Rhinolophus ferrumequinum: one gene and its partners. The protein of the gene in region 3 interacts with the protein of the main gene of each other region in a biochemical or structural test. Links are inferred from orthologs where the notes say so. Each region holds a gene or a part of one and is shown on either strand. Other genes may lie near its edges.

Region 1 (6,934 bases), on a different chromosome or scaffold from region 3:
GCCTTTGGATGGGGCAGCTGGATGGCTCAGTTGGTTAGAGCTCCAGGTCTCAACAAACAACAAGGTTGCCGGTTCAATTCCCTCATGGGATGGTGGGCTGTGCCCCCCTGCAACCTTGAAAACGGGTGACCGGACTTGGAGCTGAGCTGCACCCTCCACAACTAGATTGAAGGACAATGACTTGGAGCTGATGGGCCCTGGAAAAACACACTGTTCCCCAATATTCCCCAATTTAAAAAAAATACCTGGAGCGTCAGCTGTGCTGGGAGACTGGAGAAGGGGCAAGTTCTCCTCAGGGGAACCCTGCTGCCCCAGACAGAAAATCACCCTGTGTTTTTCCTTTTCATCCTGAATGGCCTCGTCTGTCCCCTCTGCCTCTCTTACCTCCTCACCACGTACATACCCAAGACCAGAAGGAAGCCGCCCCTGCCCCATTCTGACAAGCCTGTCTGTCCTGCTAACCCTATGGATTCCTTAAGAACCTCCATGATTCTGGACAGACCTTCAAGAACACTGTTCTCCCACACAGGCTGTTTGCAGAGCCCGGGATTTCTCTCAGCCACCTCTCCAGCGGGGGCTCAGGGACGCAGACCAGCCCCACCCCTGCCAGGGGCCTCCTGCTGAGTGGGCAGCAGCAGAGCTGACCCTGGAGGGGCGCAGAGGTCAGAGCTTGGGGTCTGGCCAGGAATCCTGCTCAGTGGCGGTCACTGCCCCTCCCTGACCCGGCTCAGGATGAAGACCTGGGCCCTCCGTGCCCTCAGCAAGCCCTTCTCCCCATCTGTTGCTGCCTTTGGCGTCGATGGACACCCAGAACTATGTGCGGAGTGGGAGGGAGTGGGGAGCTGCATGTAGTGGCAGGTGGGAAGGGGAGTGGGTGTGTTGGGAGGGGGAGGGAGAAGGAGGGGGGCAGAGAAGGTGGCTTGGGTGAGGGACAGAGACAGAAAAGGGGAAGCAACCACTGCCCAGGAGTGGTGGCCACTGGCACCCAGACAGGCATGGAGGACAGCCAGCCCTGGCCCCTGGCCCGGCTCCCCGCCATCTGGACCCAGCACCCTGTCTCTGGGGGACGCCTAGAGACTGAGTGCCTAGGATGACTTCATCATTTTAGTAGAAGCACATTTTATTTCTCCACTTCTCTAAGCCTCTGTTTCTTCATCTCTAAAACGGAGTCTCAAGGGTCTCGCTGTTGCCATGTGCCCCACAGCGATTGCTCCTAAGGCAGGGTCACTGCATTAGGCAGGCACCTGAGGACAGAGGGACAGGGCAGACGCACAAAGCCCTGAGGAGAGGGCTAGCAAGAAGACGGCCTCACAGACAGCTGTGCATATGGGCGCCCTTTGATCCCACCAGGGACAGGCCCTAGGTCCGCAGACCAGCCTCAGAAAGTGTCTGAGGAAAGTGGTGGGGCCTGGAGGTGGCTTCTGCTCTGCGAGAACAAAGCCTGCACCACGTCCCATGGGCCGTGAGGGATCAGATGGGATGCCGGGCTGAGGCTTGTGCTCTGGGCAGGGGGCCCTGGGGTCAGTCGCATCTCCACATCTCCTGCTGTATGGCCTTCAGGGGCTCCTCCCCAGTCCACCTGGGATCCTCCATGGGCTGCGGGGACACTGCAGAGACAGACTCCCCAGGGGAGGTACGGGAGACCCAGAGGGTGTGGGGGACTGGCCAGAGGAGGGAGGGAAGTGTGCTGACCCCCACCCATGACCAGTTGCCCTACACATGTCTTAGGCGGTGGGTGGAGATGCCACACACACTGTGGGATCCGCCTGGCTGTGTGACCTTGGCCAGGTGCTGGCCCATCTCTGTGCTGTTACCTCTCAGGACTGTCATCTGGGGTAAATGAGAAGCAGTCGTCTCCTGTCTGGACAGGCTTCCAGCCTGGGCCCTGTCCTGGGAGCCTGCCAACATGGCAGCCAGGGCCCCTGAGCACACAGCATCAAGAGGCACCCCAGCCTCCAGGGCCCTCTGGCCTCTCTGACCTTCCCCGCTCTCAGCTTGGCCTGAGCCCCTGCCATGCAGCCTCCTCTACCCTCCCTGGCCCTCTTCACCTCTCACCCATTCTGCGGGCTGGGTCTCATCTGCTCTAGGGCTGGTCTGTCTAGCTCACTGCAAGGTCCCGCTCAGGGGACAGCCAGAAACTTGCTGAATGATGAGGAGTGCGTGGAAAATCTCCACTTCCCTTCACATCTCGACAACTTGTGCGGTTGGGAGGCCCTCTGTGAGCCGGACCGGCTCCAGGAGCTCACCAGGCCGAGTGCCTGCACTAGGGACAGGAGCTACATATGGTCTGAGTCCAGGGGACCATTTCCAGAGCAGGGTCAAAGCCACTATGACACTGGCCGTAAGCATGCTGGGATAAGAAATTGAACTAACAGCTGTACCAGGTCATAAAGTACCAGGAGAATCAGCCAAAGAGAAGAGACAGGACATTCGAGGGAAGGGGACAGTGTGGCTTTAAACTGCATGACACCTTGGAGCAACTGAAGGGGTCAGAAGGGAGCCGGCCAGCAGCCACAGATAGAGAGAGACATGTGGTGACTCCAGGGGCAAAAATCCATACCCCCAGCATCCAGGTTCACCTCAGCACAGGACCCCGGTCCCCTCCGTGGGAAGCCCCCTACAGTGTGGTAACAGTGCGGTGATAACAGGCTCTTAACCTCATTTTACAGGTGAGGGCACCCAGTCTGGGAAAGGCTAGGGTGGGGCCTAGAGTAACCACGACACAGTCCTTTCCAGCGGGGCAAGTAGCGTATGGGGACACTTGCGTCTCTAGGACTCTCGTGCCACACATCTGGCAGGAAGCTCATGGCCGACTCACATGAATGGCACAGCTGGAATGGCCCGGCCGAGTCGGGGGCACGGCCACACCCCCACCTACTACAGTTCCAGCTCAGGCCGCCTGGAGGCCAGAGACCCCAATATTAGCACCTCATCTCCATGGGCCACCCTAAGCGACGACGGGGACCAAGGCGCTGGGCCGGACTCTATGGGGTGGTGGGGAGGGGGCGCGTGGGGCGCAGAAACAGCCAAACGCGGGGCGGGGCGCGCCGGGCGGGGCGGGCCGGGCGCCTCCCCGCGCGAGGAAGTCCCAGCCCGGCGCTTTGGGGAAGTGCGGCCGAGGCGCCTGCGCACTGCACCCTGCGCCCCCTCCCCGACGATCCGGCCGGACTTCGGAGCGCGCGGGCTCGGCGGCGGCGGCGGCGCGAGCGGCTCGAGAGCGCGGCCGGTGAGTGCACGCGCGCGGCGCGGAGGACGGCGGCCCTGCCCCTGCGGGCCCGGGGCCCCGGGGCCGTGTGGGGCGGGAGCCTCGGGAGCCGACTCCGGGATCTGCACCCCAAGGACTCCCGCCGAGGGGTCCACGTGGACCCTGGGCCGCGGCGGGACTGGAGCCCGTCCCCACCGCGCGCGCGGGGGGAGTCGGCGCTGCAACCGGGTTCCCCTTTTCTGCAGCTCAAAGCTTGGGGAAGTGATTGCTCAAAGGGGGGGCCGGAAGAACCCAGGTTTCCGCGTCTCCCGCCCCCCTCAGCCTGGTGGGGAGGGACCGAGGCGGGACACCCTGTCCGCCCCCGCCCCGTTGGATCTGGCAGCCTCTGAGCCCTGCGAGTCGCAGGGGAGGCGCTGCGCCCCCGGCCCCAGCCGATCGGGGCCCCCGGCGCCGACCTCCCTCCAGAGCGCCGCAGGAGAGTCCCCTGCCGTCTGACTCGAATCCCTGCTGCTGCAGTGCACGCCCCTTCGGCAGTCAGGGTGGGGGTGCAGACCGAACGTGGCCCCTCCCGCCCCCACCTCGCCTTTGGGTCGCTGGTGAGTGGGGCGCCATGGCGAGTTCCTTGAGGTAGGGGTGGGGGCGTCAGAGGCTGGAAGGGACCCCTGCAGAAGGCGACAGGTTCCTCCAGGCCAGACCCTACCAGCGGAGAGAGAGCGCGAGAGAAGTGAGTCGCCCCCACCATTGCAAAGGTGGGCTGGGGGCGAGGGTCACCAGGGTTAGGAAAACTGACCGGCCTTGTAAAGCCACGCTGGGGCTCCCCCACCAGCCAAACTGGGGGCTGGGGAGCAGCAGCTAGGAAAGGTACTGAGTAGGATCAGAAGCAGGGACTAGAGCCCCTCTGTCAACCCCCTCCCAAAGGTTATGGCATTTTTTTCTGGGATTGTCACATTTTTTTATTCTTTTTTTGGACTGGGCGGGTTCGGGGACGTTCTTTTTCCTTCTGTGGAGCAAAGCAGCAGCCGCTCCCGAGGGAGCCTCTGTCCCCAGAGGCCAGACTTGCTGCTTGGCCAGCCTCTCCTGTCCCAGACTGGGGGGTCAAAGCTTGGGGGGGGCTGGGGGAAGGGAAGGAGCCCCTCCCGAATGCAAGAATGAGGGGCAAGAAACCTAGACAGACCCTATTCTTCCCGCAGGAGAGAGCAGGTGCCCTGGGGGCACTGGTGGCCCCAGCCAGCTTGAGAAGGGTGCAGGGAGTCAGGTCCAGGGCCTGCAACCCAGACAGAATGGGCTGGTACCCGCTCTGCCCCAAACTTGGCCCCTAGCACCTGGGCCATGCACTCTCAGGCAGGTCCCCTCCTCCAGTTCATAGCTGAGCTGGAGATGGCAGCAGAGGTGGGTATAGTCTTCAGGTGCTAGGTTGGAGGTGGGTGGGACTGGGGCCCTGCCCCCACTCACAGTGGGTGCGGGTGCAGAGGAGGAAGAGCATTTCTGCCTGGGGAAGTCACAGCCGGTCTGGGGTACAGCTACCAAACCTCAGAGGTTGCCACACCCCTTCCTTTCCCTAGAAACTTGACCCCTGAGGGAAAGGCTGTGGGGCTGCTGCTTCCCCATCTGCTTGCTGGGAGCCCTAGGACCACGTTTGAGGAGGCCCCCAGGATTTGAGGGAAGCCGGGCAGGTGGTGAGGCACGGTGGCCCCAGGGGACCCTGCACTCAGCCCCCAGGTTTGGGTCAAAGAAGGGGCCTCTGTGTGCCCAAGCCCTGGAGGCAGGGGTGCCCTAAGTGCATGAGTCGCTGCTGTCACCTCAGCACCGCTCCCACACGGAGCCCTGCTCCAGAAGCTGCCTGCCCTCCTGACCACCGAGACCCCAAGAGACCAAGATGGGCCAAACAGGGATTAAAAGGCACGAGCTGAGGAATGAGAAAATAAAGTGAAACCAAGTCGTGAGCCTCCTGGCCGCGGAAGGTCCTCGTGGAAGAGTGCAGGGGGGCTTCCCCAGGTCGTGTGGGTCCTCACCTGGGCCTAGGTGGGCGCAGGCAGGGGCAGGGTGGGGAGGCGTTCAAAACTGCCTCCAGGCCGCTGATTGGCTACTGTCGCCCGCGGACTCTGGGATCTGCGGTCTGTCTCTCGGGGGGCACTCGGGGGCTGCTCACCGGCTCGCGCCTTCAGCGCCCCCTCGCGCCTCCAGCGTAGAAAGTGCGGTGCAGAGGCTGAGCAGGACGCGCCCCTCGCCTCCCCCAGGGACCCCGCAGCTCCGACCCGGGAGCAAGACGACCCCGCCCACTGCCGCCCCCGCTTCCCCGACAGGCTGGCGTGGCACCCCCGCCCTGTGGTGAGGCCGCAGCGGTTTCCGCAGCCTGGTGGGGGGAGGGGGGAGGGAGACCGGGGGCATTAGTTGACAGCTGGGGGAAGGGGGCACCAAGCATAGCGTCTAGGACCGAGGTCCCCTGGAAGCGCACGGCCCTCCCCACCCGTGTTCTGCCCTACTTCCTGCACCCTCAGGAAGTCCTGCCCCTTGTCCCACTCAGACCCTCTATGCCTCAGGCCTAATCTGGGTCCCCCAGGCAGGTCTGGACTCCTGGTGGGAAGCAACCCTACCCACCTCCCCACACAACCACAGGATGGAGGGGCCTGGGGTGGCATTCTGAATGTCTGACTACCACCCCTATGCACCAACCTGATAGCCCCAGCCTTGGGGCCCCAAGCCCCCTTGGGAGGGGCCAGGAGCCGGAAACCAAGAAAGAGGAACCCAGGCTTCCGGCTTCCCAGGGACTGAGCAGAGGGGGTTATCCCGGAACCTCCTTTGGAGGTCTTGTCGGGCTCCTCTCCCCACTGACCCTGCACCTCTCGCAGCCCTGGTGGAAGCTGGGGTGAGCGCAGGAAGCAGGCCCTGTGGGGCAGGGGTGAGGAGGGCAAGACTCAGGACCCCTCCCAGGGGGCATGCAGAGGCTGGGGTCTCAGGTTCTCTGAGAACCTCGGCTTCTCTTCTCAGAACCCCAGGCTGTGGGGAGGGTCCCGGAGCCAGCACCACGGAGCCTGGGTGTCCTGCACCCACCCATGCCCACCACGCATGAGGTTGAGAAACAGGTGCAGCGCCCCACACCCCTGCCTCTGTCCCCGGGGGCTTGGGGAAGGAGGAGGCCCTCGGACACCTAGGGGGCTGGAAGGGTCCTGCCCTTGGGAGCATGGCCACCAGCGGGCGGGGGTGGGCCCGCAGCTTTCGCAGGGTGGCTGAGATGGCCCCCATCTACCTGCAGCACACAGGGCCAGAGGAGGCAGATCAGCCCCCCTCGATGTCCAGTCATGATGCGGCCCCGCCAGCTGCCTCCAGCCGCAACCCCTGCTGCCTTTGCTGGTGTTGCTGTTGTAGCTGCTGGTACGTGGGGACTGGGGCACGGTTTGCCTGGGTGGGCATCGTGGGTGGAGCAGACCTGGGCCCAGGAGCCCGTTCCCTGGACCCTCGGGCGGCTTCTGAGGTGTTGCCTACAGGCAGGGTGCCCCGCCACCCGCAGCACTCGCCAGGGGCTGTTGGGCTGTGCTGACCAGTGGCCCGCAGCCCAGGCCTCTGTGTGTGCGGGGCCCCTCCTCCCTTTGCTCAACGCATGCTTACTGATGAGCCTGCGGGTCCCCACTGGCTCTGAGAACCCTACAGCACAACAAGACAAAAGCAGACCTTCCAAACTATGTCAGGTGGAGGGGAGCTGAGCAGAGGCCTGGCGCCCGGGCCATGGGG
Region 2 (7,877 bases), on a different chromosome or scaffold from region 3:
CCTCTCCTTGAAGCTTCTAGATGTAGGACAAGAAGCTGAAGGGCAAAAGTACATTGAAGAAGCACTGAACAACATGTCCTTGCAGACCTACGTCTTTCGATACGCAGCCAAGGTTTACCAAAGAAAAGGCTCTTTGAATAAAGCTCTTCAGCTCTTAAAAATGGCCTTGCAGGCAACACCCTCCTCTGCCTTCCTGCATCACCAGATACGGCTTTGCTTTAGAACACAAGTTTTTCAAATAAAGAAAGCTACAAATTGGCAATCTAAAGGACAGGATAGAGAAAAATGACAGAATGACAAGATTAGCCATATCTCATTTTGAATTTGCTCTGGAAAAAAAGCCCACATTTGACCTTGCTTACATAAGCCTGGCAGATATGTACATAGAAACAGGCAATTGCAGAAAATGTGAAGACGCTTATCAAAAAGTGTTATGCATGAAATCTCTTGAAGAAAAATTGTAAGAGCTATATTTCTACTATGGCCAATTTTAGGAATTTCAAAGGAAATAGGAAGTTGATGCAATTATCCATTATTTAAAAGCAGTAAAAATAGAAAAGGCATCACTTTTAAAGGATAAAAGTATAATTTCTTTAGAGAAATTGGCTTTAAAGAAACTTTGAAGAAATACTTTTTATATAGAAAGCTTGAACATCTTTGGGTTCGTATACAAATTGGATAAAGTCCTGCAGCATTATGAGTGGGCCCTGAGGCTGGCTGCTGACTGAGTGCTCGGTGGGACATGTTCCTTAGGCCCTGAAATATGGACCACTGTCATATTTCATTTGTTTTTAGGTTAACAGGTACTAACCATCTTTTCTGCTTGCTGCTTTCAGAAACATATTATGTAATAATGTAATTTTGAACAATTACTCAAATCTGATAAAACATTAGTGAAATAAAAAAATGTATCTGTAGGTGTGAGAAAGAGGGAAAGAGAGAGAAACCATTTCTCTGTGAATGCTATAGAGTAGAAATAACTGTTTGTTAAGTAGACTTGTAACAAATAAAACATTACAATTACATTAAAAGAAAAAAAAAAAGAAGACGTTCTTTCTAAGTCAGTATGGGGAGTTTACAGAAAGCTTCCTGGAAGAAGAGGAGATATTTTAGATGAGACTGGAAAATTAACCAGAGGAAGGGGAGGAATGGGAAGGAAAGAGTGTTCTAGACAGAGGGAATAATAGGAGCAAAGAAAGGAACAATCCATTGTGGAACTTACGAGTTAATGCAAAATTTCTCAAACTTAAAAAAAAAAATCATTTTATTTTAATTTAATTTCAAGCTCACGGAAAAGTTGCAAGAATAGTGCAAAAAACTCCCACATACTCTTGCCCATTTCCTTTCTCTCTTCCTAAAACACACACACACACACACACACACACACACACTTTTTTTTCTGAATTATTTGAGAGTAAGTTGCAAAATCATGAACCCCTAAGTACTTCACGGTATATTTCCTAAAACAAGGACATTCTCTTTTATAACCAGTATCAGACAATTTTAACGTGTATGATACTATTATCCAATCAGTCCATGTTGAAATGCCACTGACTTTCTCAATAATACCTTTAGAATTACTTATTCCCCAGTCCAAGTCCAACCCAATACCATGTGTTGCATTTAATTGTCTTATCTGTGAAAAGTTTCTGAGCCTTCCTTTGTCTTTCATGACCTGGTCATTTTTAGATGAATACAGGTTGGTTATTTAAAGAATGATCCTCAGTTTATGTTTGTCTAATGCATTCTCATGATTAGATTCAGGTTATACATTTTTGTCAGTAATACCATGGGGTATATGTTGTGTTTACCACATTCCTGAAATCTTGATGCCCTAACACCTGCCCTGCATGCTTATGCTGGACACACCTTGTTTTGGGCAAGCTGACAGTATGCCTTGTCACCTTGCCTTGACCTCCTGCCTCCCCTGTTGTCTCCCTTGGGAGTGCTTTTCAAATACTAACTAGCCAGTCCTAACCCTGCTTACCCTGCCTACCTGCTCCTTCCCTTGGAAACCACAGTAGAGGTGCTTGCCCATAGTTCCCCCCACCCCTACTGTCCCTCTCAGAGTGAAGACTTTGGTGGTTCCCTGGGTGGCCCCCAAAGGTATGATCTATATTCCCTCTCCTAGGATCTGTGAGTATAAGAAACTATCTTTTCATTGGCAGTCCTCTCCTGATCTGTTGACCTTACCATACCTAAATAATAATAAAACCTATTAAAACATGTCAGTTTTAAAACATGTCAGTTTCTCCACTTAAAATTACTGTTTACTTTTTTAAAATAAGTAATTTGTGGAGAGATACTTCAAAATATTTTCGACTGAGATGTATAATAAGAAACATATTTTACATGGTGCTACACTGTATATATATCTGAAAAAAGAGTTTAGTAAAACAATACATAGCCTTTCTATATGAAGGTTATTTTAGTTCCTATTCTGTTTTATTTCGTTTGAAAATTATTCTGTCTGACCTACTAAATTGATTTCAGAACCCTCTAATGGGTAATGACTTTAGTGTGAAAGCACTCATCTGTTGGAAATAGCACTTTGTATTGTCTGCTTGCAAAATGGAAAATAGATGGCTAGATGGGCCGGGGCAACATGGGCAAGCAGGCCTTTATAAGGCTCTTGCCATAATTCAGATGAGAGGTTTGTGGCTACTGGCGGTGAGGTTGAGAGAAGTGGGTGGGTTGGAGAAAGAGAAGTAGATCGAGGAACTTGAGTTAACAGAATTTCATGATTGATTGCATGTGGGGGTGGGGAAAAGAGGGCGGAGTCAAGAATGACTGGTTAAAGCCTTGGCCTCTGGGGCAGATGATGGTGCCTCTTACTGAGATAAGGAACACTGAAGGTTTTGAATTCAGGCTCCATCATGTTGAATTTGTGGTTTTAGGAACATTGGATTGGAGCCGTTCAGTGGGCAGTTGGCTCTCTGGCGCTCAGGAGGTCAATCTGGGTTGAATTAATAGCAACCTGAAGTTGGATTTTACTCAAGGAGATTTTACAACTTCTTGCCCTTTGCAAAAATCAGAAATTGGTTCAGGACAGGGAAAAAAAATGCTCACAATATTTCCAGTAATTTGGTGTTGAGACGCATCAGTAAAATAATACAGACAAGTCAAAAGTATACCAAGGAAGTTAATTGACATGAATTTACTAGGATAAATTTCATTTTTCTCACTTTCATCACCTCTTTTGGTTAACCACTCTGTAAAGTCTCATGTAAATATATGTATACAGCAATGTAGAAAAGAAAGATACTACACTTTTGCATGATATAGAAACAATGCTGACTTGAATCACAAATGCAATAACCTGGGCTTTCCCAGAGCCTGGTGCTTAGATTTAACCCTCCAAATCTAGCACTCTCCGGTCTAGATGCCGGAGATAAACACGTACATAGTGCGGGCTGCAAAAGCTGCACGAGTTTGGGTTGCATTGAGAAAGTTATGTTTTTTTTTTTTTTTTTTTTTTTTTTTTAGCGGAAGAGGGTATGAACGTGAGTTTACATACACAGTGTTGGAAATGATGGACCGTGCTGTTAGTCGTCCCTTATCCCCAATCTTTATCTGCTCTCCTCCCTCCCGTTCTCCCTCCATTTCCCCCCACCCCCCCTTCTCCGGCGTTATTCTGGGATTACCGGCGGGGTCGGCCTGTACACAAACGCAGCTGGCTCCTACGATCAGCCTGAGCCCTGCTGTGCAACCACGTCAGGAATTCCAGTAAGTTGGCAACACAGGAGCACAAAGACAACAATGAGGAAGAAAACCCTTTAGTGCAGAAAGGAATGTTTGGAGCCTCGGCTGCTCTAGTGAAAGGACACACACGCGTGCGCACACATACACTCACTTTCACCCTCTCGCGCCCACGCGTGTACTAGGAGCGACCCTCCTCCCGCGCATGCAGTCCCCCAGCCTGCCCGCGGGCCCCGGCGCGCGCCTCCCCAGCGCCCTCGGCTGTTCTTTGCAACGCGCGGGTGCGGGGACGCTCATTGACTACGCAGCGGCCCCGGCGGGCGTCGGATTGGCCTGACCTCCGCGCGGTCTCGTACCATCGCCCCGGCCGCCCGGAACCGGCATAAATCAGCCAAGACTAAAGCTCAGCTTCTTGCCCCCTCGCAGCTTCCCTCCTCCCACCGGGCTCATCCTCCTCATTTGCCGGCTCCCACCAACCCCTCAGGTCCCCAATCCTGCCTCATCCCCCGCGCGGCAGTAAGGCAAATAGCGTTCCGGTGACTGGCCAGAGCAGAGAACTCTGGATTTCCACATTCAGAAATCTCGAAAAGAAACCCACGAAATCTCTCCCGCCCTTTCTCACACCCTACTCCTTAAGGCTTAGTTTTCTCTTTCTGCGTCTATTTCTCCCTCTCTTTTTGTCTCAAAAGTAATACCTGTCACCCCCCACCCCCACTTCCGCAAAGTTTCATAAACCTCTAAGACCCACGGAGGGTACGCGATCCCGACTGCTGAGGATCAGCAGAGCCCCAGACGATCCGTGCTCTGGAGAGGAGGGGGTGGCATTAACTGGCAGGTTCTCGCCCCTGGGGAGGGCGAGGCGGAGGGACCCTGCGCCGGGGCTTCGCGGAAAGGGCTGCCGCCTGCATGGTTACCGCCTCTGGAAGACAGGGCTCCTGAGTCTGGACCCGGACTCGGAGCCTGGGGCCCCAATGCAAAGTTCGTCCTGGAACAGGGGCAGGAGATTTTGGGGGCGACCTCAGGTCTGGAAGCATCCCTTCCTCACACAGGGCTCCCAGGGCCAGGGAGTAGGTTGTGCACCAACCCCCCCTTTCTTTCTGTCAGCTCTGGTGTCACGGACCGGCTGAGGACGACGCTCTGGCGGGGAGTGTAAGGGTCACTTGCAGTGCTCTTGGGGGCTGGTCCCGGGTCAGCCAGACTTACCGCTGCACCAAAGAAGGGAGCGGCGGAGTTCTCTGAACCCCTTAACGTTTCTTCCTCGTTTAAAGGGGCACCCGCACGATCGAGAAGACGTTCATTCTTTGCAATTTTACTTCGAAATGAACAGAATTGTAAGAAGTGCGATCTGGCCGTGACACCTGCAGATATGGTGCTTAAGAAAAGCTAAACAAGGATCCAACCTCCTCCCCAACATGGAGTCAACCCCCTCCACAACGTAAAACCACAGGGCACTCCATCTCCGCGCCTCAACTCTCGGGGTGTCGGGGGGAGCCTAGGGATTGCAGACTGGAGAATGATCACAAATCTCTCCAGCAGGCTCTTAACTCCTTCCCTTTCCTCCTTCCTTCGCTTCCTTCTCTTATTTTTCTCCCTTTTAAAAGACTGTGTCGGTGGCACATTTCCCCGTGGACTGCCTACCCGACTTCTGTGCGGAGGCAAATCCTGCGGAGAGGCTAGGGCAGCTGCGTGTGTGCATCAGTGTACGTGTTCGCATGTGAGTGTGTGACTGTGAGGCGTGTGAGCGCGTCTGAATGAAGAGTATGTAGCTGTGAAGTCTGCGTGCACGTGTGTCAGTTTTTGAGTGTGGAGTGCGCGCACACGTGTGTGTGACAGAGGAGTGTATGTACGCGCGTGTGTGAACTGCGTGTGTCCGTTTGCGTGACAGTGAGAAGTGTGTGCGATTGTGTGAAGCTATGTATGAGTGAGTACGTGTGGAGTGTGCACGTGTGAGCGCGCGTTCGAGTCCCCACTCCTCTCAGCGGCAAAATGCAGGGGGCGGGCCGGGCGGCAGGGGGCCTTCCCCGCTGGATTCCCGCATGCTAGTTCCGGGGCGGTCGGGTCTAAAGGGCTTTATGCACTGTCTGGAGGGTGGGGACTGGCGCGGGTAGAAAAACGGGACGCCTCGGGCGGGCCAGCTTCCTGCTAGTAGGAGCCCGCCGAGGCGCGGGGCTAACTGAGCGCTCGCGAGCTGACGCGCTGCTGCTGCTGCTGCTCCTGCTGCTGCTGCTGTGTGCGGCGCGCGCCCACCTCCCAGGGAAGGAACGGCGAGGCCGGAGCCCTCGGCCGTCGGCGGGATGGAGCGCAGGGTGGTGGCAGTGGCGTGCACGCTGCTGCTGGCTTTCGCTGCCTGCCTGGCGCCGGCCAGTGGCCAAGGTAAGCTCCTTCCCGGCTGAGCTCCGCGCGGAGCGCGGGACTTCACCAGCGGTGACAGGGTCGAGTCCGCAGGCGGGCCGAGCAGAGCGAGGCCGGGCCTGGGCCAGGGCGGGCGGCGGCGCCGGAGCGGCTCCCCCGGGGGCGCTCAGGTTGCCCAGTGAGAGGCAAGCAGGAGCGCCCCTCCTTTGCCCGCCCGGGAACTGAGCAGCCGCAAACTTGAGAAAGCAGCCCCGCCGGTTTTGGTGACAGCGCACCCCACGGGGACCCCGTCTTTGTTACCACGCGAGTTTGTACCGACCCTTCTGGAAAGCACTTTGCGGTTGGAACCCTGAGAATGAAGGTCTCCCCTATGAGTGCGCAGCCTGTGCTCCCCCCTGCCCCTGTTTATGCTCTCCAGGGTTGAGCGGTCCTCCGCGCTGCTCCTTGCTCAGTTTTCCACCTGCAGCGCCCCGCGGGGGAGATCCCTTTGCTCGCCCAGGCTGCGGGCTAAAGCACCCCCGCCTCTTTCCACCAGCGAAACTTGGTCCCGCGGTGACCCCCAAGAGACCGCATCTTGATACAGATCACTTGCGAGCCAAGATAAGGCTGGGAAGTGGGATTGGCTGAGAGAGCGGCTGATATACTCTAGCATTTTCTTGAAAGGTTTTCCTTTCCATCCGGGTGGTGGGGGCTTTTGTGTTGATGAATGGGGCGCGTCTGCGCGGCCAGAGTTTTGAGCGCTCGAATGGAGAAAGTTTCTGGTATGAAACACTTCGAACTTCTCTCAGGTTGTTGGAGAGTTTACGTTTTTACAGAAACAGAGGCAGAGAAAGAGGGAGGAAGAAGTGGAGAGAATAAAAACTGTAAGGGGGAAGAGGACAGAATACAGCAAGTAGAGAGGGTAAGGAAGAAAAGGAGGGGAGAGAGAGCTTGAGGACCGAGAGCGCAGCGGGGAGGGAGGGAGAGGGAGAAGGAGAGCGAGGGAGGGAACGGGAGGGGGAGAGAGAGTGAGAGGAGCAGGGGGGGGAGGAGGAGGAGGAGGAAGAGGAAGGAGAGAAGGAGGGAGAGAGAGAGGGAGAGGGAGAGGGAGAGGGAGAGGGAGAAGGAGAGAGAGAAAGAGAGAAAGAGAAAGAGAGAGAAAGAAAGGAAGAAACACTAGGGATGAATGGGAAGTGTGAAGAGGAGGAGGCAGGGGAACCCGCGAGGTCTCTCCCCGGCTTTGCGTTGCTAGGTAGCAGCCGGGAGCCGCGTGTGACCCACCACCAGACAGACAGAGAACGCTACTGCCTCCACGGGGACTAATCTGTCTGTGGGGATGGGAGAGTACTACCCTCCCTCCTGTTCCTTACGTCGGACAACTTAATTGCCCTACAATAAAACGAAACCCCTATTGTTGTAGGATTAGTCAAAGCAATACATTGATTTTCCTGGATCACATATTGGGGTTGACGGGTGAGGACTGTAGAAACCCCCATTTATGGCGGAGAGAGGGGAGGGCTTGTGCATGGGCCGCGGCATGTATTCAAATGGTTAATCTGCTTTCTTTCCTCAATTCTTAGCGTAAGCTCCTTAGAGGGAATCAACTAAGTAATTATACAGCAACTCCTAGCAGTACCCATTTCAGACTTCCTGGGAAGAAGTTTGGAAACGCCAACAAATCCCACTGGTCTTGTAAAAATCTTTGGAAAGGGAGGAGAAGCAGGGGGAGCTGTTAATAATTCTTACTTTGAACACCTTTTCTCAGTGTTGGTTACACAGAAAGAGGATTTATTATTATTGTGGAGGGTTTGCCTCAGCGTTTAGGGTTATATATATCTCATGTCCTA
Region 3 (7,978 bases):
TCCTCTATATAATGGGGACCATATCCAGTGGGATTACTCCTGAAAAGCAGCTAGCACAGGGCCTGGCACACAGTCAGAGCTTAATAAAAGTTTCTATTTCTATCATGTTTCTATTATGACATACAGTGTTTATTCATCCTGTGCTCTCAGTGCAGTTGAATGATAGCAGCTGGTGTTCACTGAGTACTTCCTATCTGCCAGGCATTTGACACAGAATAGCTCATTTCATCCTAATATAATGGTAACAACTTTAGAATTACTATATCCATTTATTATGATGATGATCCCCATTTTAAAGATGAGGAGACTGTGGCACAAGGGAGATGGGGTTCACCCAGGGGCACACAGCTGGCAAGCAGTGCACATTATGAAGAACTATAACTGTACGCTACCCCACAACCCAAAGTGGACTAGAGATGGAATAAAGACACAGGGAAAGTAAAACCATTGAATGACTAGGAGGAAATGTAAAAGAATATCTTTGTGATTGAGGAATAGAAAGGCCCTCCTTAATGAAATTTCATGGGCACAAACCACAAAATGGATAACTTCTATTACACTGAAATTAGGAATTTCCTTCCAATGAAGAATATCACAAACAAAGTGAATCATCACATGACAGAAGGGGAGACTATATTTGCAAAGTGAAACACTGTAGCTACCTCACAGGGTCATTAGGGGAGTTACATGTTTTAATAAATATAAAATTCTTAGAACAGTGTTTGGCATATAGGAAGCTCTATCTAAACATTATCTATCATTGTTGAAACTGACAGGGCTCAATATCCCAGCTTTATTCAGTAGAACTATGCAAGAGCATATATAATTTTAAGTTTCCCGGTAGAGATATTAAAATAGTAAAAAGAAACAGATAAAATTAATTTGAATAATACATTTTCTTTAGCCCAAAACATCCACATTATTATTATGATGACGTGTAATCAGTATAAAAACGAGTTAATGAGATGTGATATTTTACATCTTCTTGTCTTTCTACTTAGTCTTAGAAATCTGGTGTGTATTTCACACCAACAGTATATCTCAATTTGTATTAGCCACATTTCAAGTCCTCAATAACTACATGAGAGCGGAGCATTCACGTTAGACAAATCCAATTGGACAGTCCAGATCTAAACTCTGAGGAACTCATGCAAATAGACAAGAAAAGATAGTAAGCTCAAGTGCAAAATGGGCAAAAGCTATGAACAGGCAATTTACAGAGGAGGCGATCCAGAAGGCCATCAAGCAAACGAGGACATGTGCAAAATGATTAGCAATCAGAGAAATGTAATACAAGCAATGGTGATGTCACTTGACAGTGAGTCAGATTGACAAAAATTAGAAAGCTGGAAAATGCCAACAGCTGGCAGAAATGTGGGGATATGGGACCCTTCCACACTGCCAGTGGGTGAGATGGGGGCAGCTAGTCTGCGGGGAGGGGGGGCACTCAATAGCAATTGAGTGACTCAGCATCTCTGCATCCAGGACTCTCTCCTAGAGAGAATCTTACCAGGTCCCTAAAGGGCAGGTCCATGGCTGCCCACTGTGGTGTGGAGATCTGGAGGCTGCCTGGAGACCAACCTTGGGAAACAAAAGAGTAAGATACGAGGGATGCATCTCATGGAGCATCAAGCATAAGTTAGAAGAAAATAGTCAAAGGGAGGCCGGATGGCTCAGTTGTTTAGAGCGCGAGCTCTGAACAACAGGGTTGCTGGTTCAATTCCCACATGGCCCAGTGCAGTGAGCTGTGCCCTCCACAACTAGATTGAAGGACAACGACTGGGAGCTGATGGACCCTGGAGAAACACACTATTCCCCAATAGTCCCCAATTTAAAAAGAAAAGAAAGAAAAGAAAAGAAAAGAAAAGAAAAGAAAAAAGAAATTAGCAATACCAGATGGATCTTCAAGGTACAGTGCAAAACAAGCAATACTGTGCTGAGTGTAAAAAAAAAGTAAGAAGCCCAATACAATAGAATGCCCACATAAAACAGTGCACATTTTCAAGGAAAGACACAAACACAAAGGTGCACATTTTTAAACCCACTGGAGGGTCACTTCTGGGGATGGGAGGGAAATGGGAGTATTTTCCCCCAATGTTTATTTTGAAATTTTAAAAGCTATAGAAAATTTAACAAGAATAATATAATGAATACCATATACATGTACCACTCTCCTGGATTCAGTGGCAATTGTTACTATTTTACCACATTTGCTTTCTCTATGTATTAATACTAATGTATACCATATTTTATTGTATATGAAATATTTTATACATATATAATTTTTTTCTGAACCATTTGACAGTTGCAGCCATCACAAATTTACCACTAAATAATTCAGCCTGTAACACCTAATAAGACGATTCTCTTATGTAACCACAATACAATGCTCACCCTCAGGAAATTTAACATGGATACAATGTTATTATTTAATATCCAGTCAACATTGAAATATCCCCAATTATCCCAAGAATATCCTTCATAGCTGGGTTTTTTTTTGTTTTTTGTTTGTTTGTTTTGTTTTGACATTTTTATCAAGGATCCAATCAAGGATCACACAACGATTTTGGTTGTCATCTCTCTTTTGTCTCCTTCAACCTAGAACTTCTCACCAGACTTTTATTCATTCATTTAATTAAGGGATTGATTTTGCCTTTTATGACATAGATCTGTTTGAAGAGTCCAGGTCAGTGCCCTTCCTTCCTTCCTTCCTTCCTTCCTTCCTTCCTTCCTTCCTTCCTTCCAAATGTCCCTCAGTCAGGATATGCCTGGTTGTCTCTTCATGATTAGATTCCAATTAACCACTTTGGGCAGGACTAAGTACTTTGCAGGTGATGTTGTGTCCGTCTCAGTACCACACAGCAGGGGGCACGTGACATCAGCCGGTCCCATCACTAGTGGTTAATTTTGATCACTTGGTGAAGGTGGCGACTTCCAGGTTTTCCCACTGGTACCTCTTCCCCATTATAATTAAAAAGTAATCCTGTGGGCTGGTCCTTTGAGACCAAATATTAACTTCCTCATTGATGAGCCTTGCCTGAATTATTTATTCCTCTACTGGCTGCATAATTCCTCTACTGCTGTGATTTTCTAATTCAACCTTTCTTTCTGCATGTATTAGTTGGCATTCCAGAACTTGCTTTTTCCAGAAGGGCAGAGGCAATACTCAAATCTGAGCTCCTCACCAGCTGGGTCTCCCAGCCTGTTTTCAGGCATGCCTCTTGAGCTCTAAAATAGGGTAGGAGGAGGTGCCTGACACTGCTCTGTGCCCTTGGGTAACCCCCTCACCCTTTCCTGGGCACGTCCTCATCAGTCAACAGGTGGATTCAGGCTCAGGACTGAGCTGTCCCCGCAGCCCTCCATCTAGCCTTCTCCAGGTGTATAGGGGGCAACTCAGATGCGGGGTCCAACCAGGGCGGTGGGTACAGTCCCACAGAGGGCACTGGCCCAGCTGAGGCAACTGATGACTCAGTGAGGGTGGCAGAGGTCAGCAGAACAGGAAGTCAAGGACAATAGCTGAACCTGTTGCCGTGGTGATCTCTGTGTTTGCCAGCTGGGTGGGGCCAGCCACGCAGCCCGCATTAGCTAAGCCCAGGGCCGGTACTCCGCTTTCACTTTGCTCCTCTTCTGGACCTGGTGGGGCTGGGATTCACAGCAGCTCACCTGGGGACTGCAAAGGCGCAGTCATTCAATGAGGCTTGAGAAGGGTCGCAGCAGTTAGAGGCCTCCAAGATCTACAGTTCCCAGAACACAAGTGAAGTCCTGGTCTAGCCCCAGCTGCCTGAGTGGTCAGCTTTGAACTAGCACAAGGAAATATCATCTATCCTGGGAACGGAGAGTCTTGGCCTGTGTCTTGTTTCTTGAACCTGCTCCTGCCTGAGAAATCATGGTTACAAGCCAAACCTAGAGATCGTGAGATTACCTGGTCGTTTCATCCACACACATGTGCTCTGTGGGGAGGGGGGGAGGGAGCGGAGAGGGAAAGGAGAGGGGCGGGCTGCAATCAGATGGAGGAGACAGACTCTTGAAAGTTCAGCTCCCTGAGGGCAGAGGCTTGGGTTGCGTGGGTACCCACTGTAATCTAGCACTGAGTATGAGCTCAATAAATATTTGCTGGTCTAACGAACAAGGGAACAAGGGAACAGGGCCTCTCGCCCTCGTCTTCCGTTTCACTGCCCCCTTTCACACTGCTTGGCTAGCGCCTACGATATTGCATTATCCTAAAATGTGCTGTATATCTCCGTCTGGCCTCCAGACCTTTGCAGGCACTGTTCCCTCTACCAGGAACACATTCAGTTTACTAGCCGGTGTGTCTGTAGAGATAAGTCAGAGACTGGCACCGAGCAGGGGCACATTAAATATTTGATGAGTGAATGAATGAATGAATGAATGCCCTTGTCCATTGTACACCCCAGGAAGCAGGGACACTCGGGACCCTCCCTATTCATCTCAGTCCCCCTCCCGCCAGCCTGGAATGAATGCATCTTTTTATCCGCTCTGAGAATTGCCAGGCTTCGGCAGGGACAGGCGGGGCGGAGGACTGGATTGTGGGGCTGCCCTCGGCCCCTTCTCAAGTCTCCTAAAGGGTCTGCTTTTCCTGACGTTGGGAGTTTGCATCCTCTCCCCGAAACTCAGCCTTGTCACCTGACTCCCACGGTCAGCCCCTCGTCCCCCACCACCCTGTATCCCGGGTACCGACTCTCAACCAATAGCACGTGGTTCAGAGTCTGCAGCTTCCCATTGGTCGCTGGTCTCCTTTCTTCCCCGCGATTGGCCGAGGCCCAGCCGCAGCTTCCCCCCTACCCGCAGCCCTGCGATGGTACAGCCCGCCGCGGCTTAGGCGGAGCGGGAAGGTCCACTGCGCTGCGCCGCGGGGTGTCGGGAAGAGTCGGGAGAGGCGGAGGGATCCCTCTGGAATGTTTCCGTCTGCTCCACCCGGAACGGGGATGAGAGGCAAGGATTGGCCGCGAGCTGCAGGAGGCCGTTCCTGATTGGCTGGGAGCGGGCGCCGACCCCGCCCCCCGGCCCCGGCTGCGGGAGAGGCCCGGACCAGAGTTTGCGGAGGGCCGAGCTGGGCGCGCGCAGGGCGGCGGCGGCGGCGCAGGTGAGTTTCACGCGCGGGCGAGACGCGGCTGGAGGTCTAGGCTGGGCGAGGGTATGTCGGAGGCCTCCTCCCAGCTGGGCGCCTCCCTTCCTGCTGGGGGTAGGGGGCCAACGCCTCCACCGCCAGGATGGGGTCTCCAGCCGCACCCCTGACTCCTGCACCCCTTTGGACAGCCCCCACTCTGGCGGGCACAGACGCGGGGTCTGTATTTCTGAGCCCTATCTGGGGCACCTCCCCGGAGCTGGCCTCACCTCAGTCTTCCAGGGTTTAGGGAGGCTTGGGAAGGACCGAGGTCCCGATAATAACAATGAAAAAAATCGTCCTCACTAACATTGATTGAACACTTTTGTGTCAGGTAATTACTATGAGGATCGTTGAATTTAAACACCTCATAGGAGCTGTTACTTCTTTTAAGAGTGAAGCAGCAGACCCAGAGAGGTAGAGTGACTTGCCCAAGGTCACACCAGCTAATAAGTGGCAGATCTGGGACTCAGTCCCATTCCTCAGAGTGAAGAACTGGAGTCTCAACCACTAGACTACATGTCCAGTGGCTCCATGGCTCAGATGTTCCTGCACAGCTCCTCAGCCTACTGCACTTTGTGCTACCCTCTCCCTCCCCACCCCTCCACACACACACCATACATACCATGTGGGCCACACCTGCTGGTCTTTGCTTCTCTCCCCGTGCTCTTTCCCCCGCCAGAGGTCACCAGACACCAGCAGCTCAAGCAATAAACTGCGCCCGTATTCCTTCTCCCTTGAGCTGGAAGGCAAGGCTGGTGTACCTGGGTCCTGAGAAGAGAGTGATGTCTTCAGGGGACATAGGCAGGGAGCCTGGATGCTGGGGTCCTGTGCCTGCCAGGCCCCCCTAGGAAGCCTGGGCCCAGGCTGGGGAGTAGGCGTTCTCTCCGGAAACACCCAGGAGCCGGTTTTTCAAGACTGAATCAGAGGCCGCCCGCCCTTCTCTCCAAAGCATTCCCCTGTTGGAAAGGGGAGCCTGGGTGTGGTGCCCCCCCTCCCTGAGAGATTGTGTGAGCTCCCAGGAACCCTCTGCCCCTCTTCCTGCTTCCCCGCCACTGCCATTCTGTGTGGCTGTGGAGTTGCCCTTCCCAAGGAAGTTTCAGGCCCTTCCCAAGGAAGAGAGGGTAGGGAGGCTGGAACTCCAACTAACCTGCTTGGTGCCCAGGCCAAAACTCTTTTTCTCCGGTCCCCACAGGTGAGGAGAGCCTGGGAATGTGGGGAGAGGGTGGCAGTTAGCAACTCCACGGCAGGCATGTTCTGAGGATTGGGGGATTCAGAGAACAGTCAGAATGAGGATATAAGATATGTTCATTCATTCTACAAATATATTTTGAGCACCTACTTTGTGCCAGGCACTGGCACAAGATTTAATAGTGAACAAGTCAAAACTAAGGATTTTGAGGGGGGAGCTGCCATTCTAGTGGGGGAAACAAGCAACAAACAAGCTAACAAGTAAATTAAAAAGATACCTCCAGATGGTGGTAAGTGCTATGAATAATATATGAGGGGGTGACATGATAGAAACTCTGGGCAAGGTGGGCTCTCAGAGGAAGTGACTTTGGAGCCGAAGCCTAAATGACAAGAAGCAGCCAGCCCTGCCTGCAAAGATCAGGCAGAGGGCACAGCCAGGGCAAAGGCTCTGAGGCTGGACCAAGCTTGGAATAGGGTAGCTGGGGCAGGAGATGCAGCTGAAGCAGCAATTCTGCAGGAGTCGGGGGTCACATTAAGGAGTTTGGAGCTTTTACCCCGTCAGGTGGGAAACTTGTAAGATTTGAGGCAGGGGAATGATGCGATCTGGTTTACGTTTTAAAATAGGACACGAAGTTAATAACAGCCTGAGACTGGAAGACAAGAGTTGTGCCAGGGCAACATGTAATTAAGTTCATGGGCCTGAGCCGTCTGGACCACAGGGGCAGTTCCAACAGGCTAAGGCAAGCCAGGGAGGCTTCCTAGAGGAAGTAACATGGAGTAGGCCCTGGCAGGCAAAGAGGACTGGGATGTTCCTGGGCAGGGCAGGGAGGGAGGCAATATAATGACTAATAATACAAACAGTTTCCTTAAATTGCTAAGGAAATAAAATGCTGAGCAGGTTGCATGCATAATCTCTTTGAATCCCCATAAGCACTCTCTGACAGACAGGAATTCTACCTATTTTTCAGATGAGGAAACTGAGGCTTCGTCAAATGAAGTGACTTGCCTACAGCCACTCAGCTGGTAAGTGGCAGGGGTGGGTTTTGAACCCAAGCCATTTTGCCTTTTCTGGCCTGGAAGGCAAATTCATTAATTACCCACTTTCCTCACCATCGTTATTCCTGTCCCCCCCAGGTGAGGACTAGGCAGCCAGCCTGAACCAGGGCAGCAAGTGTGGGCAGAGGAAATAAGGAGGTTGGGAATTGGTGATCGGGATGTGGGGGCCCTGCGTAAAAAGAGGAAGTTAGTATCTTCTGTGTTTATAGATGGAAATAGTAATAATCACCGACATTTATGGAATCCTCATATCGTGTGCCAGGAACTGTTCCATGCATATGTATGATTTCCTTAGAACTCGAAGAGCTTAAGACACTTGCTCAAGGCCACACAGCTATTAAGCGGTGAAGCCAGATTCCAGACTCATGTTCTCAGCATTCTGCCTCCCAATGTATGATGAGGGAGGGGACCCAAGGGAGGTGATAATGAGGATTTTTTTTTTTTTTTTTTTTTTAGTATCATTGAGCGTAATGAGATAACCGGAGGAGGCAGTACTCATTTATTCATTTAGAATTTATTTTTTGTCTAATAGTCAGTGAGTGCCTACTGTGTGCTAGATCCAGTGATGGGTACTATCGATAGCCATAACCAATAAAAGACTAGTAC

The links.
Region 1: the proteins of GIPC1 (region 3) and RGS19 form a complex in vitro, tested with the Homo sapiens proteins (2 studies listed by BioGRID). The link is inferred for Rhinolophus ferrumequinum from reciprocal best matches to the Homo sapiens genes GIPC1 and RGS19.
Region 2: the proteins of GIPC1 (region 3) and LRP2 form a complex in vitro, tested with the Homo sapiens proteins (2 studies listed by BioGRID). The link is inferred for Rhinolophus ferrumequinum from reciprocal best matches to the Homo sapiens genes GIPC1 and LRP2.

Annotation. Positions count from the first base shown.
Region 1 is NC_046306.1:128,507-135,440, forward strand, and holds the start of RGS19 (regulator of G-protein signaling 19), read left to right. Parts: upstream 1-3,851; 5' UTR 3,852-4,126; coding exon 4,127-4,314; intron 4,315-4,575; exon of another isoform or gene 4,576-4,594; intron 4,595-4,617; coding exon 4,618-4,629; intron 4,630-4,767; coding exon 4,768-4,811; exon of another isoform or gene 4,812-4,881; intron 4,882-5,438; exon of another isoform or gene 5,439-5,521; coding exon 5,522-5,533; intron 5,534-5,589; exon of another isoform or gene 5,590-6,071; intron 6,072-6,172; coding exon 6,173-6,288; intron 6,289-6,458; coding exon 6,459-6,577; intron 6,578-6,934. UniProt on the Homo sapiens protein: Inhibits signal transduction by increasing the GTPase activity of G protein alpha subunits thereby driving them into their inactive GDP-bound form. Binds to G-alpha subfamily 1 members, with the order G(i)a3 > G(i)a1 > G(o)a >> G(z)a/G(i)a2.
Region 2 is NC_046291.1:54,553,975-54,561,851, forward strand, and holds the start of LRP2 (low-density lipoprotein receptor-related protein 2), read left to right. Parts: upstream 1-4,876; 5' UTR 4,877-5,993; coding exon 5,994-6,072; intron 6,073-7,877. UniProt on the Homo sapiens protein: Multiligand endocytic receptor. Acts together with CUBN to mediate endocytosis of high-density lipoproteins. Mediates receptor-mediated uptake of polybasic drugs such as aprotinin, aminoglycosides and polymyxin B.
Region 3 is NC_046301.1:47,652,047-47,660,024, forward strand, and holds the start of GIPC1 (PDZ domain-containing protein GIPC1), read left to right. Parts: upstream 1-4,905; 5' UTR 4,906-5,104; intron 5,105-7,284; 5' UTR 7,285-7,339; intron 7,340-7,978. UniProt on the Homo sapiens protein: May be involved in G protein-linked signaling.